Arabidopsis thaliana: one gene and its partner. The protein of the gene in region 1 interacts with the protein of each later gene in a pairwise test. Each region holds a gene or a part of one and is shown in the gene's direction. Other genes may lie near its edges.

Region 1 (6,643 bases):
TGCGTGAGTCACGCAGCGTGACCAAAAACGAAGTATCATGTCCTTCTTAATTGACTTCTTGGGAAATATATGTTAGGTATAAGTTAACATGTGCGTGAGTCACGCAGCGAAGCAGCGTGACCAAAAATGAAGTATCATGTCCTTTCTTGATTGACTTCTTGTGAAATACTATATGTTAGGGTCTTCAAAAAAGCAAGATTTGGATGGTTAAAAAGCCCATATTTTTTGGGCCTTAGGTTAATTAGTGCCGATCGATCCTAATAGGATTCAAATTCACCACCACCTCCCTAAGATTAATTAACATCATCTAATTAATTAGGTCGACCTCTTAAGAGATTTATTCCAAATCTATTTGTAGAGTGAGCCTGTGAGATTTTTATTCTCAAAGATCTTTCTCCGTCTGATCATGGAAAGTAGAAAAACTTTTGATTCCATTCCAGATGATCTCTTTGTGGAGATAGCATTGAGATTGTCTTCAAAGTCAATCGCTCGGTGTCGTTGCGTGTCGAAGCTATGGGCGTCCATACTTTACCGTCAAGATTTCACCGAGTTGTTCATAACGAAGTCATCCGCTCGTCCACGTCTTTTATTTGCGGTCTTAAAAGCAAGTGGTTTGATATTCTACTCTTCGCCTCAGTCTCAGAATCCGTCCCTTGAAGTAGATTTTCATAATCATATGAAGTTCCATGAAGACATGAACCTATACATGTGTAGCTATGTCTCTGGTTTGTTCCATATCCCTGTCCATGATATTTGGACCTCAAAGGCTTCAGTTTGTGTGATATTTAACCCTATCACAGGACGCTATGTTAGCTTACCTGAACAAATGGCTACAAAACGTCAAGAAGCTTTTTAGGGTTTGATCCGATTGGCAAGCAACATAAGGTTTTGTGCATGAACAAGAGACTCAATAAAGAATGGGTTCATTATATTCTGACATTAGGAACTGAAAATTTGAAGTGGAGGAAGATGATATGTCCCTTAACCCATGAACCTTATTATGGTAGAGCCTTATCCATCAATGGGGTTTTGTATTACTTTGCTAGGACATCGTGTTTTCTAGTAGTTTCCTTTAATGTTAGGTCTGAGAAATTCAAGTTTCTTGATGGAAAAGACTTCTCTAATTTTCATAGAGAATTTATAAACTACAAGGGTAAATTAGGTGTGACTAAATTGGAGTGTGATGCTGGTGATGGACATCCCCGTGAGTTGTGTGTGTGGGTTCTAGAGGATGTTGAGAAACAGGAATGGTCACAGTATATCTACTCCTTGCCGAAGATTAAGGTCAATCGGATTAGAAACGACAATATTTTCGCAATGTTTTTGCCTTTGACTATATAGAGGATCTTAGTATTGACGATTCGAAGCAACTCAAGTCAAAACCACAACAACGTCGACATGTAAAGAACAAGCAGGCAATCCTCCTGCAGAACAAGTACGATTTACTAGGTAACTCAGAGTGAGGATCTTATCTTGAAAGCCAAGCCAACGAGTCAAGCTATTTTGGTTAAGAGTGTTACTTGTCATTTACAGGTTACTTACGTGTGAGCTTTATCACCCTGTTGGCGTAGAGTGAGAGCAAACTAATATTTTTTTGTATGGTTATCAAAAGGCCTATGAGGTTTTACCTAGGTGAAGAGGGCTCTCTATATCCAATAACTTGATTGTTAAGAAACCGATGTGGTCAATGATTGAATAGTTGAATTGTCAGAATTGATGTTAAAACAAGAAAGTCATGTGATATGAATACCACTGTAGATTGATTAGAGATTTGTAGTTCATTTTCTGTTGAGATCTTATGAACAAAGATTTATGCTTTATTAAAACTAAACGAACACATCAAATATGCAAAAGAATTGGACACTTAGCTTCTTAAATTTGTTTTCTCTCAACCTTTTCAAGGTCTCATTCATAGGTCTGTTTATGCTTCTTCTGTTCTTCTTGATGAGATGCTTTCCTCTAGTACTAATTAAGTCCATCACGTAATATTTTTTTTTTTTTCTAACAACACTAAAAAAAAATTAAAGATAATATAAATTTGGATGGTTATAAAAGCCCATATGTTTCTTGGGTTTCAAAAGGTTAAATTTCAAAATCACCACCCTTCCCCTAACAGAATCTAATTACATAGGTCGAACTTTTAGCAAAATACGACGAAAATGAAGAATTACGCATGATTGCTATATGTGTCAATCCGACACTTCTATAAAATATTATATGCTTTAATTACTTTTTTCTAAATGTGTAATTTTACATGTATATATATTAAACCAAGCTTAATATAATAAAATATTTAAAAGATTTTAGATAGAAGTCATTTTCAAAAAGTGGTGGTACGGTATTAGAAAATGGACATTTTGAAATTTCTCCAAACGTTTACTATTTAAGATGAATAAATTATTAAAAAATGATTTAATTCATTCAACTCAAAATTGAAAAAAATTGACCAAATTATAAAAGTAGTTTGTTCAATTTATTTATCTACTATTTTGCAGAAAAATAAGTTGAAAGTTATTTTAAATTTCCAAAAAAAAAAACACAAATTTGTTTCCTAGCCATTGAGAGAAAGAAAAATCTCAATTATTCCCAGTCATTCATTTACACACAACCATTTTCCACCCCAAAAATTCAACCAAGTTCTCATAAATTTTAGATAGGTTTTAAAAAATAAGTTGAAAGATATTTGAAATTTCCACACAACAAAAAAAAAACAATTTGTTTCCTAGCCATTGAAAGAAAAGAAAAACTCAATTAATCCCAATCATTCATTTACAAAGCCATTTTTCACCCTAAGACTTCAACCAACTTCTAATAAATCTTAGACAGGCTTTAAAAAATAAGTTATTTAGATTTCGTTCTAAGTAGTTCAATAATTTTATAGGTGAAAAAATAGATCGTGTTTTTAAATAATAAATAAAGTTATATAAATACACGTTTTAGCTGCATGATTGTTAGATGCTTTTATATTGGTTTGACCCAAATGAAGAAACCATGGTCCACAATTGTCCCCCTACTAGTCTATATGAACACCTCTTCTCACCACACACACCAAACATTCATCACAATTCCCTAAATCCTACAATCTTTCTTTTCTTCCATCACCTAAGAGTAAACCCTACCTTGCGTCCCAAGTCTCCACCGATAATGCAACCATCCACCAACATTTTTAGCCTCCATGGTTGTCCACCTTCGTACCTTTCCCATATTCCTACATCCTCACCATTTTGCGGACAAAACCCTAATCCATTCTTCAGCTTCGAAACTGGCGTGAACACTTCACAGTTCATGAGTTTGATCAGCAGCAACAACTCGACCTCAGATGAAGCAGAAGAGAATCATAAGGAGATAATAAATGAGAGGAAGCAAAAGAGGAAGATATCTAACAGAGAATCGGCAAGAAGATCGCGTATGAGGAAGCAGAGACAAGTGGATGAGCTTTGGTCACAGGTGATGTGGCTTAGGGATGAGAATCATCAGCTGCTTCGTAAGCTTAACTGCGTTTTAGAGTCTCAAGAGAAGGTTATTGAAGAGAATGTTCAGCTCAAAGAGGAAACCACTGAGCTTAAGCAAATGATTAGTGATATGCAGCTTCAGAATCAGAGTCCTTTCTCTTGCATCAGAGACGACGACGACGTTGTATAGATGATTTTTATTTTTATTTTTTTGGGGCTCTAGTATGTATCAACAAATGTATATCCAGAGATCTGTCTCAGCTTAAGATTTAATTAAGACTCTAAATTAGTAATTGTTAAAGCAGAGTTCTTCAAACTTGTGTTGCCCGTGAATAGAAGTAAGAAATTGTTTCACAATTGTTTGCATAACAAACGATAAAAATTCACATTGCTGAAGTATAATTTTAAAAAAAATTACATGCATAAATATTTTTGCAAAATGTAAATACAAGCATCAATTACTAACAGTAGACTTTCTTCTTTTTCTCTTTAAAATTTTACGTTTATAATGACCAATTTTGTTCTTTCTAAATTGGCTTAAGTAGTGTCTTTGAAAAAAATATACACCAGCCGTAAACGGTTTATTTTCTTCCATTTCCATTTGCATTTTTATGTTGAAAAATTATTAAGAAAAGAATTAAGATTGTGATTAAAATAATAAGAATATGAAAAGCAAATACGTAAATCTAACGCAAACAAAAACAATTAAGACCTTACATGGTTGTGTACTTGTGTGTGAAACTCTCGTAAATCTAATTATGTCAAGCAAAGAAGAGCTTTTATCTGTAGTATTTTAGTACCTTGTATTTTATTTTATTTTAGTACCTTGTATTGGTAGTGCATGGACTGAGGTTTTGCAAGATTTGGCTTAGAAAGCAGTTAATGCTATTTTTTAAAAACCTAAATTACACTATTGATTATTGGTAAATCTGTTCAGCGGCATAAGTAAACCTATAACTTGGATAAAATGTTAAATCAAGCTTACATCAATCTCAGACAAGAAGACAAACAAACAATCTTACGTAAAAGGAGACCCCTTTCCAGTCAAGAAAACAAACGGCTTTTTCTTCGAATTCGTGTGGGTGAGAAACTTACCGGCCAAGAAAACAAAGAGCTTAGCCACTAAAATCACATAACATAATGTAAGTGGAAGACTGAAAGAGACACTTGCGATTGAAAGCCGAAGAAAGAAATAGAGACAGCTTTTCTAAACCACCTCAAAAGCTGGAAATACAATTCAATATAACACACAACACTTTATGGTCAGGACAGGAACAAATGACATAAGTTTTTGTTTTTTTGGTAAGTCAAAATAATAACAGTTTGGTCCCAGTTCTCAAAATCATCGATCCATCTTTTTTCTTTTCTTTTTCACTTTGATTATTGTATAAATATACATCACAATCTCAGCCTATATATAGGTTTGTGCGTGTGTGAGCTAAAGTAGTCTCTGTAGTCTATATATGTTACTAAAGTAACTTCTTTAGTTGAGACAAGTATGTTTGTTTTATTTCTTTTCCTCGCTTCGTTTTCGTTCGATGATTGGTTCATTGGTCTTTGGAAATGGTAGGATCCTATATCATCTTTTAAAAAGCCCTTAAATAATGTATAAGAGATCTTAACTAATATTCAAAGAACTCATTACTAGTTCTAATTCATTTTGATTTTGGATCCAGTGAAATCTAATTTATTAGAAGGGTCCGTTAGGATTTCACATCAAAAGCTAGAAGGAATTAAAATAATATATAAAATACATCGACAAATACACTAACTACCAATTGATTTTAGAGTTGAAAATCTATAATACCAGTGGGATGAAGTTTTATCATGACTAGCTTGATGCATAGACTTAAAATTCCACCTTAATATAAATGTAATTAAATCAACTTATATTTCGGTAACAAAGAGATGGTATATTATTTTGTTAGAAGAATTTGTAGATCCAGGAGATATATCCCTTTAATCCAAAGTTTGGTGACTAGTAGAACTACAAAACCATAGCATGTATGGCATAAGCATATGCATCTTTCTTCACAACTCATTATCCATACCCTTAAATATATGAAACATGCGGGTAAACTCGATAGTTCACAATGGGGTAAACTTTACACACAAAATTAATATACTTCCAATAATTCAGTGAATTAAATAATGCCCAATTTTTAATTCTCTAAAACCAAACCCAAATTGTTTCCTCATTAGAATGAAAATCAACACGTATTTGTGATCAAGTTGCATCTATCTTTGGACAAATATGCACGAAATCTCTCTTTAAACATTAGCATTCGTCATATGCGTAGACTCAGATTTCTCCAAAATAAAATTTTCGGTAAAGTTTACGTAATATTGAACTCAAGACCAAGTGTCGTTAGCTCAATTGGTAAAGACCCTATTCGCCTAGAGATCGCCGGTTCTAGTGACGTTTGAGATGAAACTAAAATTACAAGATTCGCCCCAGAATCTCTTAAATCAAAATATATATATCTATATATACATTTTTGCAGCCATTTTAGCAAATAAATCCTGGACTTGGACTTATTTACAATCTAATGCCATTAGCATTAAATCTTTTTTTCAAAATAATTAATTTTACTTTAAATTTTTGATTTAAATTGTCAATCACATTATCAATCAAATTTAATCCCACCAAACTTCAAATCAATCCCTTAAAATTAGCATAAACATATTTGTTAACAATATTTTAAAACAAAGTTTTTTGTTAAATAAATATTATTCTTACTAAACGTTTTTTGTTTAAATAAATAAATTTTGTATTTGAACTTATTTACAATGTCATGTCACTGACATTAATTATTTATTAATAAAAATATTTAACTAAAGATTTAAATCTTCTAAATCCTTGCTTTTAGAGTTATTATGTCATTACCTTATAAGCAAAAATATTAATTTTTTAAATATTATTATTTATATATTTAAAATTTATAAAATATTATTAATATTTAAACTTATAATAAGTTTGATATATTACAATTTTTAACATCATTATATAATATATAGAGTTTAAAAAAATATTAATTTATTCCGTCATATTTTATGATTCGAAATTTTAAAAATGAACGTATATTAACCAATTAGCAAAAAATGTATGGATTCAACGTCCCGCATCGACAAAAATATTTAGACAATGATTTATAAACATATCATAAATAAGATCAACATTAATATAAATA
Region 2 (8,302 bases), on another chromosome or scaffold:
CTTGAAGTCTTTCCCATCTTCTATGGAGTAGATCCTTCCGTGGTGAGGCATCAGCTAGGAAGTTTCTCTTTAGTAAAGTACCAAGGTCTTGAAATGGTGGATAAGGTTCTCAGGTGGAGAGAAGCTCTTAACCTAATCGCCAATCTTTCAGGCGTGGTTTCAAGCCACTGGTAAGCCTCGTTTTCTTGTTTACACACATTTATCACTTTGTTTAGCAGCACACTGGAAAGTTGAATTATAATTTTCCTGCTCAATTTCAATATTATTAGTGTTGATGAGGCTATAATGGTTGGAGAAATTGCTAGAGATATTTCAAGACGTGTGACATTGATGCATAAAATAGACTCTGGAAATATTGTTGGGATGAAAGCTCACATGGAAGGTCTTAATCATCTCTTGGATCAGGAATCCAATGAGGTTCTCCTGGTAGGAATCTGGGGAATGGGAGGAATTGGGAAAACCTCCATTGTTAAGTGTCTCTATGACCAGCTCTCACCTAAATTTCCAGCTCATTGTTTCATAGAAAACATTAAGAGTGTTAGTAAAGACAATGGCCATGATCTAAAGCATTTGCAAAAAGAATTGCTCTCCAGTATCCTCTGTGATGATATTAGGTTATGGAGCGTGGAAGCTGGATGCCAAGAGATAAAAAAGAGACTTGGGAATCAAAAGGTTTTTCTTGTGCTTGATGGTGTGGATAAAGTGGCGCAGGTGCATGCTTTGGCAAAAGAGAAAAACTGGTTTGGTCCTGGGAGCCGAATTATCATAACCACTCGAGATATGGGCTTGCTCAATACCTGTGGAGTAGAAGTCGTTTATGAGGTTAAGTGCTTGGATGATAAGGATGCCCTCCAGATGTTTAAACAGATTGCTTTTGAAGGAGGACTTCCTCCTTGTGAGGGTTTTGACCAACTCTCAATCCGAGCTTCTAAGCTTGCTCACGGGCTTCCTTCTGCCATTCAAGCCTATGCATTATTTCTCCGTGGAAGGACAGCGAGTCCTGAGGAGTGGGAAGAAGCACTGGGTGCACTTGAAAGCAGTCTTGACGAGAATATAATGGAAATCTTGAAAATTAGCTACGAGGGCTTACCAAAACCACATCAGAATGTATTCCTTCATGTTGTCTGTCTCTTCAATGGAGACACTCTCCAGCGAATCACTTCCCTTCTTCATGGCCCCATACCTCAGAGCAGCCTGTGGATAAGAGTTTTAGCAGAGAAATCTCTCATCAAAATATCAACTAATGGATCTGTTATCATGCACAAGTTGGTCGAACAAATGGGAAGAGAAATTATCCGCGACGACATGTCTTTGGCTCGAAAGTTCCTCAGGGATCCTATGGAAATTCGCGTTGCCCTGGCTTTCAGAGACGTAAGCATCTATATCATCTTTGATCTATTCTTTTAAATTTTCATGCATCCTGACCTGACGAGTTTCTGGCTTTGTGTTTCTTTTGTCTTCTTATCATCAGGGAGGAGAACAAACTGAATGCATGTGCCTACACACGTGTGATATGACCTGTGTGTTATCCATGGAGGCCAGTGTTGTTGGCCGTATGCATAATCTCAAGTTTCTCAAGGTTTACAAGCATGTAGATTACAGAGAGTCGAATCTGCAACTCATTCCAGACCAACCGTTCCTGCCTCGTAGCCTACGGCTATTCCATTGGGATGCATTTCCATTGAGAGCCCTGCCTTCCGGTTCTGATCCATGTTTTCTTGTTGAACTCAATCTGCGTCACAGTGATTTAGAAACTCTCTGGAGTGGAACACCGGTAATCTTTTCTATGATTCTGCATCTTGTGTTTGTGTTTTTGATAGAGCAATGGTGTGAAAACAGAGAATCCTTGCGAGAAACATAATTCCAACTATTTCCATGTGTTGTTGTATCTTGCTCAGATGTTGAAGAGTTTGAAGAGACTAGATGTGACGGGATCTAAGCATCTCAAGCAACTTCCAGATCTTTCAAGTATCACGAGTCTTGAGGAATTGCTTCTGGAACAATGCACGAGACTGGAGGGCATTCCAGAGTGTATTGGAAAAAGGTCTACCTTAAAGAAGCTTAAGCTATCCTACCGTGGAGGGCGTAGAAGTGCCCTGCGGTTTTTTCTACGAAAATCTACAAGGCAGCAACATATTGGATTGGAGTTCCCAGACGCAAAAGTGAAAATGGATGCACTTATAAACATATCGATTGGGGGAGACATTACTTTTGAGTTTCGTTCAAAATTTAGAGGATATGCTGAATACGTCTCTTTTAATTCTGAGCAACAGATACCCATTATATCGGCGATGAGTCTGCAACAAGCACCTTGGGTCATCTCAGAGTGCAACAGATTCAATTCCCTCCGCATCATGAGGTTCAGCCACAAAGAAAACGGTGAATCTTTCTCCTTTGACGTCTTTCCAGATTTTCCCGACCTGAAAGAGCTAAAACTAGTGAACTTAAACATCAGGAAAATCCCATCTGGGATTTGTCACCTGGATTTACTAGAGAAGCTGGACCTCAGCGGAAATGATTTTGAGAACTTACCAGAAGCTATGAGTAGCCTTTCCCGGTTAAAAACTCTCTGGCTTCAAAACTGCTTTAAGCTCCAGGAGTTGCCAAAGCTAACTCAGGTGCAGACACTTACACTTACCAACTGTAGGAACCTTAGATCATTGGCGAAACTATCTAACACAAGTCAAGATGAGGGAAGATACTGTTTGCTTGAGCTTTGCCTTGAAAATTGCAAGAGTGTTGAATCATTGTCAGATCAGCTTAGTCATTTCACCAAGTTGACATGTTTAGATCTCAGCAACCATGATTTTGAGACATTGCCATCAAGCATCAGAGATCTTACCTCATTGGTAACACTTTGCCTCAATAACTGCAAGAAACTCAAATCGGTGGAAAAACTTCCCTTGTCTCTCCAATTTCTCGATGCACACGGCTGTGATTCTCTCGAAGCTGGTTCTGCAGAACATTTTGAGGACATACCAAACAAGGAGGTGAATACTTGGCTCTTGATCCGTCTCTACTATGATTGATGTAGTTACCCTTTATCATCTCCCTTCTTTTATAGGCACATACACGAAATGACTACTTCCAAGAAACTGAGATGTCGAGTTATGTACTGAAAACTCAAGCCACAAGAAATCGCCAAACCATCCGCCTTCCCAAGATCACACATGCGGTTATGTATGTAGGCATCCCTATCTGCATCACGCTAGTGGCTGCTCTTGTGATTTTACTCCTGCGTGTTTTCAAGTGAAACTCAAGACTCAGCAACAGCTTCCTCAAGACTTAAACTGTGTGCTTTCTTCTGTAATTTACCAGGTAGTAACAAACTTACTACATTTCAAGTCTCCCTTGCTTCTGCTTCTCTCTCTCTTTTCCACTCGCATTTTGGAACTGAGTTCCACTATATCCAAAGAACGCTTCAAGATTTTGTCCATAAACACAAAGAGTAGGCAGATTAGCTTTGCTTTAGATGCTTCAGCTGCCATATAGTTGCTCACTAGATTAGGCTTTTGACGATAGTTTTACTTTGTAAAGTGGATAGGCAGATAACTAGATAAGTGTTTACTTTGTTAAGTGAACAAAATAATAAGTCAATAAGATTAGAAAACTAATATATTAATTAAGCATTAAAAATACTAATGAAGGTGGCGGTACTGCTAATAATGGAGCTGGTGATTTTGTTGGAAAGGTAATGACTTTATAAGAGAGAAAATTGTGAGTGACGGAAATGAAGCATCAAAAGAATACACACACACACATACACACTGTTGAGTATCTATCTGAGAGAATAAGCAAAAGAGAAAAGAGATTTACTTTGTTTTGATAGGCATCCCTTGAGTTCCTGTTCTTCATCTCTTCCTTGAATCCGTAAGGTCTCTCTATCTCCTTCTCTTTGAATCCGTCATTTCTTCGCTTTTTTTTAGAGTGATGTGCTGATTCGGAAATCTTCTGGAAATTTCTTCCCAAGTCAACGCCTTTTAGGACGAAAGTAATGGTGCTGATTTTAGTTGGTCGGAACTTTACTTTTTTTTCTGCCGCGCTCTTCTAATAGTTTGCCCGAAATAGTTCTGAATGTTGCTCTGTTTCTGGGTTTTTTTCCCTTTTTGGATTATCCCCTTCTTTGTCTACTACATCGTCAAAGGTTTTGCTGTTTCCAGGAATAAATATCTTTTGAAAGTTTTATCATTTATAAAGATGTTCTGAATTTGGAGCTTCTTTGACAGACACATGTATCATCAATCTTCTCTGTTGAAGCAGAGAGAGAGAGAGCTAATTGTTGCCTCTGAGTCACATGGATAAGAAAGTTTCATTTACTAGCTCTGTGGCACATTCAACTCCACCATACCTTAGTACTTCCATCTCATGGGGACTTCCAACCAAATCCAATGGTGTGACTGAATCACTGAGTTTGAAGGTGGTAGATGCAAGACCAGAACGTCTTATAAACACAAAGAATATCAGTTTCCAGGACCAGGATTCATCTTCAACTCTGTCCTCTGCTCAATCTTCTAACGATGTTACAAGTAGTGGAGATGATAACCCCTCAAGACAAATCTCATTTTTAGCACATTCAGGTCCGTTTTAAACAACTTTGGGTTCTAGACAACTCACTATGATCTATTATGTTGAAGACGCATGGTGTTTTAGCTTGATCTTTGGTCCCATTTACGAAAGAATCCATCCCTTTGTCCTGAAAATGTTATCTTTCGCTCTCTTTCTTTCAGATGTTTGTAAAGGATTTGAAGAAACTCAAAGGAAGCGATTTGCAATTAAATCAGGCTCCTCCACGGCAGGAATCGCTGATATTCACTCTTCTCCTTCCAAGGTACCCGTATATCTACTACGAGTGACGATAAGCAGTACTTGTGATTGTTTACTGACATCTTGTGTTATACTCTGGTTTCAGGCTAACTTCTCATTTCACTATGCCGATCCACATTTTGGTGGTTTAATGCCTGCGGCTTACCTACCACAGGCAACAGTAAGTATATCCTCCTTGATTACATATGGTGAGGAGAATATTTATGCTAAACCTCATTTTTACTTAAGGTGGACTTGTTATGTAACATTATGCTCTGAAGTAGTTACATATACAGCTATAGAAAGAAATGCCATCCTTAAATGGTGAATTAGTCTTGCAATTTATTTCTCCATTTGAGATTTCAGTTTGCTTAAAAACTTTCTGCAGATATGGAATCCCCAAATGACTCGAGTTCCGCTACCATTCGATCTCATAGAGAATGAGCCTGTCTTTGTCAATGCAAAGCAATTCCATGCAATTATGAGGAGGAGGCAACAGCGTGCTAAGCTAGAGGCGCAAAACAAACTAATCAAAGCCCGTAAGGTATAGTATTTTGGTCAGCGTTTCGGTATCTTACTTTGGTTTAATGACTAAACATAACTCATTATCAAATATCATACAGCCGTATCTTCATGAATCTCGACATGTTCACGCTCTTAAACGACCTAGAGGATCTGGTGGAAGATTCCTAAACACCAAAAAGCTTCAAGAATCTACAGATCCAAAACAAGACATGCCAATCCAACAGCAACACGCAACGGGAAACATGTCAAGATTTGTGCTTTATCAGTTGCAGAACAGCAATGACTGTGATTGTTCAACCACTTCTCGCTCTGACATCACATCTGCTTCTGACAGCGTTAATCTCTTTGGACACTCTGAATTTCTGATATCAGATTGCCCATCTCAGACAAACCCAACAATGTATGTTCATGGTCAATCAAATGACATGCATGGAGGTAGGAACACACACCATTTCTCTGTCCATATCTGAGCCGGTGGAATCTGGTAATGTGTACGTTCCTACAAAAAAAGGGAAGTCATCCTTGGCTGCTACTTCGCTTATTAGCTAGTTCTTATTTCACACGCTTTGTCCAGATATCATTTGAATGACCAAAAACCTTCAAGCTTCAACTCTTTACTTTTCGTCTGTCGTTTGTACCATGGATCATCGTGTGTTAAGTCAGTGATTGGATTGGAGTGATGAATGTAAATGTAAATCTGATAACCGATAAGTCTCTGCTCTTTGCTTATTCATAGTTAGTAAAGCTAAACCAGATTCATACACTCCATTCCGGTGTTGTTTATATCATATATCATAGTCATAGAACACATTGACTAGAAGCGCAGCTTGGTCCCAATCCTCTGTAACAAGCCGTCCAACCACCTTCCCCGACCAAGTTTCTAACCGTCTGTAGATAGTCAGACTGCAGTTCCTATCGTTACTACTACTACTATTACTATCTTCCACATTTAGAACCTGCAGTCTAGTCTTTAATTATGTCACTGTAATCAAAGCGGAGACACTACCAGCAATGGCGGCAGTAACACCTTGAACAAATGTTCCCTAAACGCTTTTCTGTCTGAGTACCCCCGAGTTACAATCACTAGCAGTGTATTTATACACAAAGGGAATATCTCTTAACACAGATATGTTTCCAAAAACATACAAACATAACTAAAGACTAGACTGTAAAGGATGACGGGAAATTGCAATGTTTCTTTTGCAACACGTTTTCACCACGTGTCGATGTTGTTGACACATTAACTAACGCAAGAGTTATCCTTCTTTTGATCTTTTCCTTGATGTAATACTTTGGGCTTCAATTTTGGGCTTCAACTTTGGCCTTGTAAACTTGTTTGGATCAGTCAATAAAGAACAATAGTGACAAAAAAAAAAACTAATAATTTGAAAAATGATAAACAAAGTAAAATTCATTAAGCAAATGGCCTATCAACGCATGGACACAACAAATATTTAGTTCACATATATATATTTTTTCCTACCCAATATACCCCTATTAATAGTAGAACAGTACCAGAAAGCCACTGGCAAAGATAGGCATATGTACTAATGTACAGGCTTTGTTTTTGAAAGCACAATACTGATCTCCTAATCTGAAAATGTCCTAGCGATCGATCGGGTATAGGGAACTTTGACTACTTCAATCTGACCTTTCCAACAAGAACATGAAGTTGGAGTTTTGGCGGATCAACGGAGGAGGATCAACCTCTGCAACCTCTACGTTTTGCATCGATTTGGAGATATCGTCAAGCGAGAATGGGATGCTGCAAAAAGCAATCAAACCAAGACACATAATTTTTTTTATCAAAATATCAATCTTCTAAAAAGTGATTTGTTTTGTTAATGTTTCTTTCAAGGGTTTACCTCGAATCGTCGTCTAGTAAAAATGAATTGCTGATCGCGCTCTTTGATACATCTGACACCTCTGCCCGCATGGTTGCTATCACCTGCATCACCATTCTTGTGTCAAGCGAGGAACATTTTTATTTCAATTCTAGGTAATGTTGGATTTTCTTAAAACATAGCTCAGGATAAGACTAATGTTAACGGTTTGGTCGAGTGGGTCCATCAATCACACGAATGTGAAAGCAAGAGTAGAAATATTCACTTGCCTCTGTAGATACGCTATGTGTACCGTATTTGTCGTCCCAATACATTGTACTGATCCTATACAGTTGCTGAATGCTAAGCACCTGCAGAGAAATACAAAATTTCGTTAGATTTACATGAGACGAACAAATGAAGAGACAAATTCAAAACGTTGAACTAACCGGACAAAGTTCAGTAGTTATCTCTTTTAAGCTCTTCTTAGGCTTCTGATGTATAACCAAGAAGCCAACAGCTTGTCTAATGTGCTTTAGTTCATCCCAAGCCGAACCAACAAACTAGAACACAACAAAAAAAGCATCTTCTAATAAGCTAACTGTCCGAAAACTCCAGAGAGGATTTGAAACATCTATTACCTCCTCCGTTGCATCATGGCACCACTTTTCCAGCTCAGCAAGCCCTGTTTTTACATACTCTCCATTGCTAAACGAGCAGCATTCACGTCTTAAAAGAAGGCTACACGGTTGATTAAACGGGAAAAACATAAGCGGATCTGTATTATATAGCGACTTGACAGTTGCAACCATATCAGAATTACCTGTTAAACAGCTGAACATTGATAAATGAAAATATCTGCCCGAACACTTTAGAAATTAGCAAGGAAGGCACCTGCAGTTTTGGATAGGTTCAAAATTTGTAAGAAGAAAGAAAAAAGAAGTTGAAAATAAACTTTATTTCAGCTTTGGCGGAATTTATAGTTTATTTCACTCACATAATTGGCCCTCATAGTCCTCAAGTGGCCGTTTAGACAAGTAACAATGTTTTGCCAATGAGCAATCATCGGTTTTGGAGCAACAACATTATTTTGTGTATTTTGTGAACGTCCTTTTACTAAACCAGACCGCGGTGTCCTTGGAACCTGTTTT

The links. Proteins that work in one complex are often made in the same cells at the same time.
Region 2: the proteins of bZIP43 (region 1) and NF-YA8 interact in a two-hybrid assay, tested with the Arabidopsis thaliana proteins (one large-scale study listed by BioGRID).

What each region holds. Positions count from the first base shown.
Region 1 is NC_003076.8:15,535,304-15,541,946, reverse strand, and holds bZIP43 (basic leucine-zipper 43), read left to right. Parts: upstream 1-3,057; 5' UTR 3,058-3,144; coding exon 3,145-3,642; 3' UTR 3,643-3,806; downstream 3,807-6,643. Other genes in the region: AT5G38810 (F-box and associated interaction domains-containing protein), read left to right, coding at 407-725, 857-1,341. UniProt on the Arabidopsis thaliana protein: Probable transcription factor involved in somatic embryogenesis. Acts as a positive regulator of BHLH109.
Region 2 is NC_003070.9:6,047,977-6,056,278, reverse strand, and holds NF-YA8 (nuclear factor Y, subunit A8), read left to right. Parts: upstream 1-3,650; 5' UTR 3,651-3,875; exon of another isoform or gene 3,876-4,226; 5' UTR 4,227-4,294; coding exon 4,295-4,577; intron 4,578-4,727; coding exon 4,728-4,828; intron 4,829-4,909; coding exon 4,910-4,984; intron 4,985-5,191; coding exon 5,192-5,347; intron 5,348-5,426; coding exon 5,427-5,798; 3' UTR 5,799-6,115; downstream 6,116-8,302. Other genes in the region: AT1G17600 (Disease resistance protein (TIR-NBS-LRR class) family), read left to right, coding at 1-170, 270-1,371, 1,472-1,774, 1,899-2,990, 3,065-3,253; MYA1 (myosin 1), read right to left, coding at 6,970-7,093, 7,194-7,276, 7,442-7,522, 7,601-7,714, 7,793-7,892, 7,975-8,045, 8,149-8,295. UniProt on the Arabidopsis thaliana protein: Stimulates the transcription of various genes by recognizing and binding to a CCAAT motif in promoters.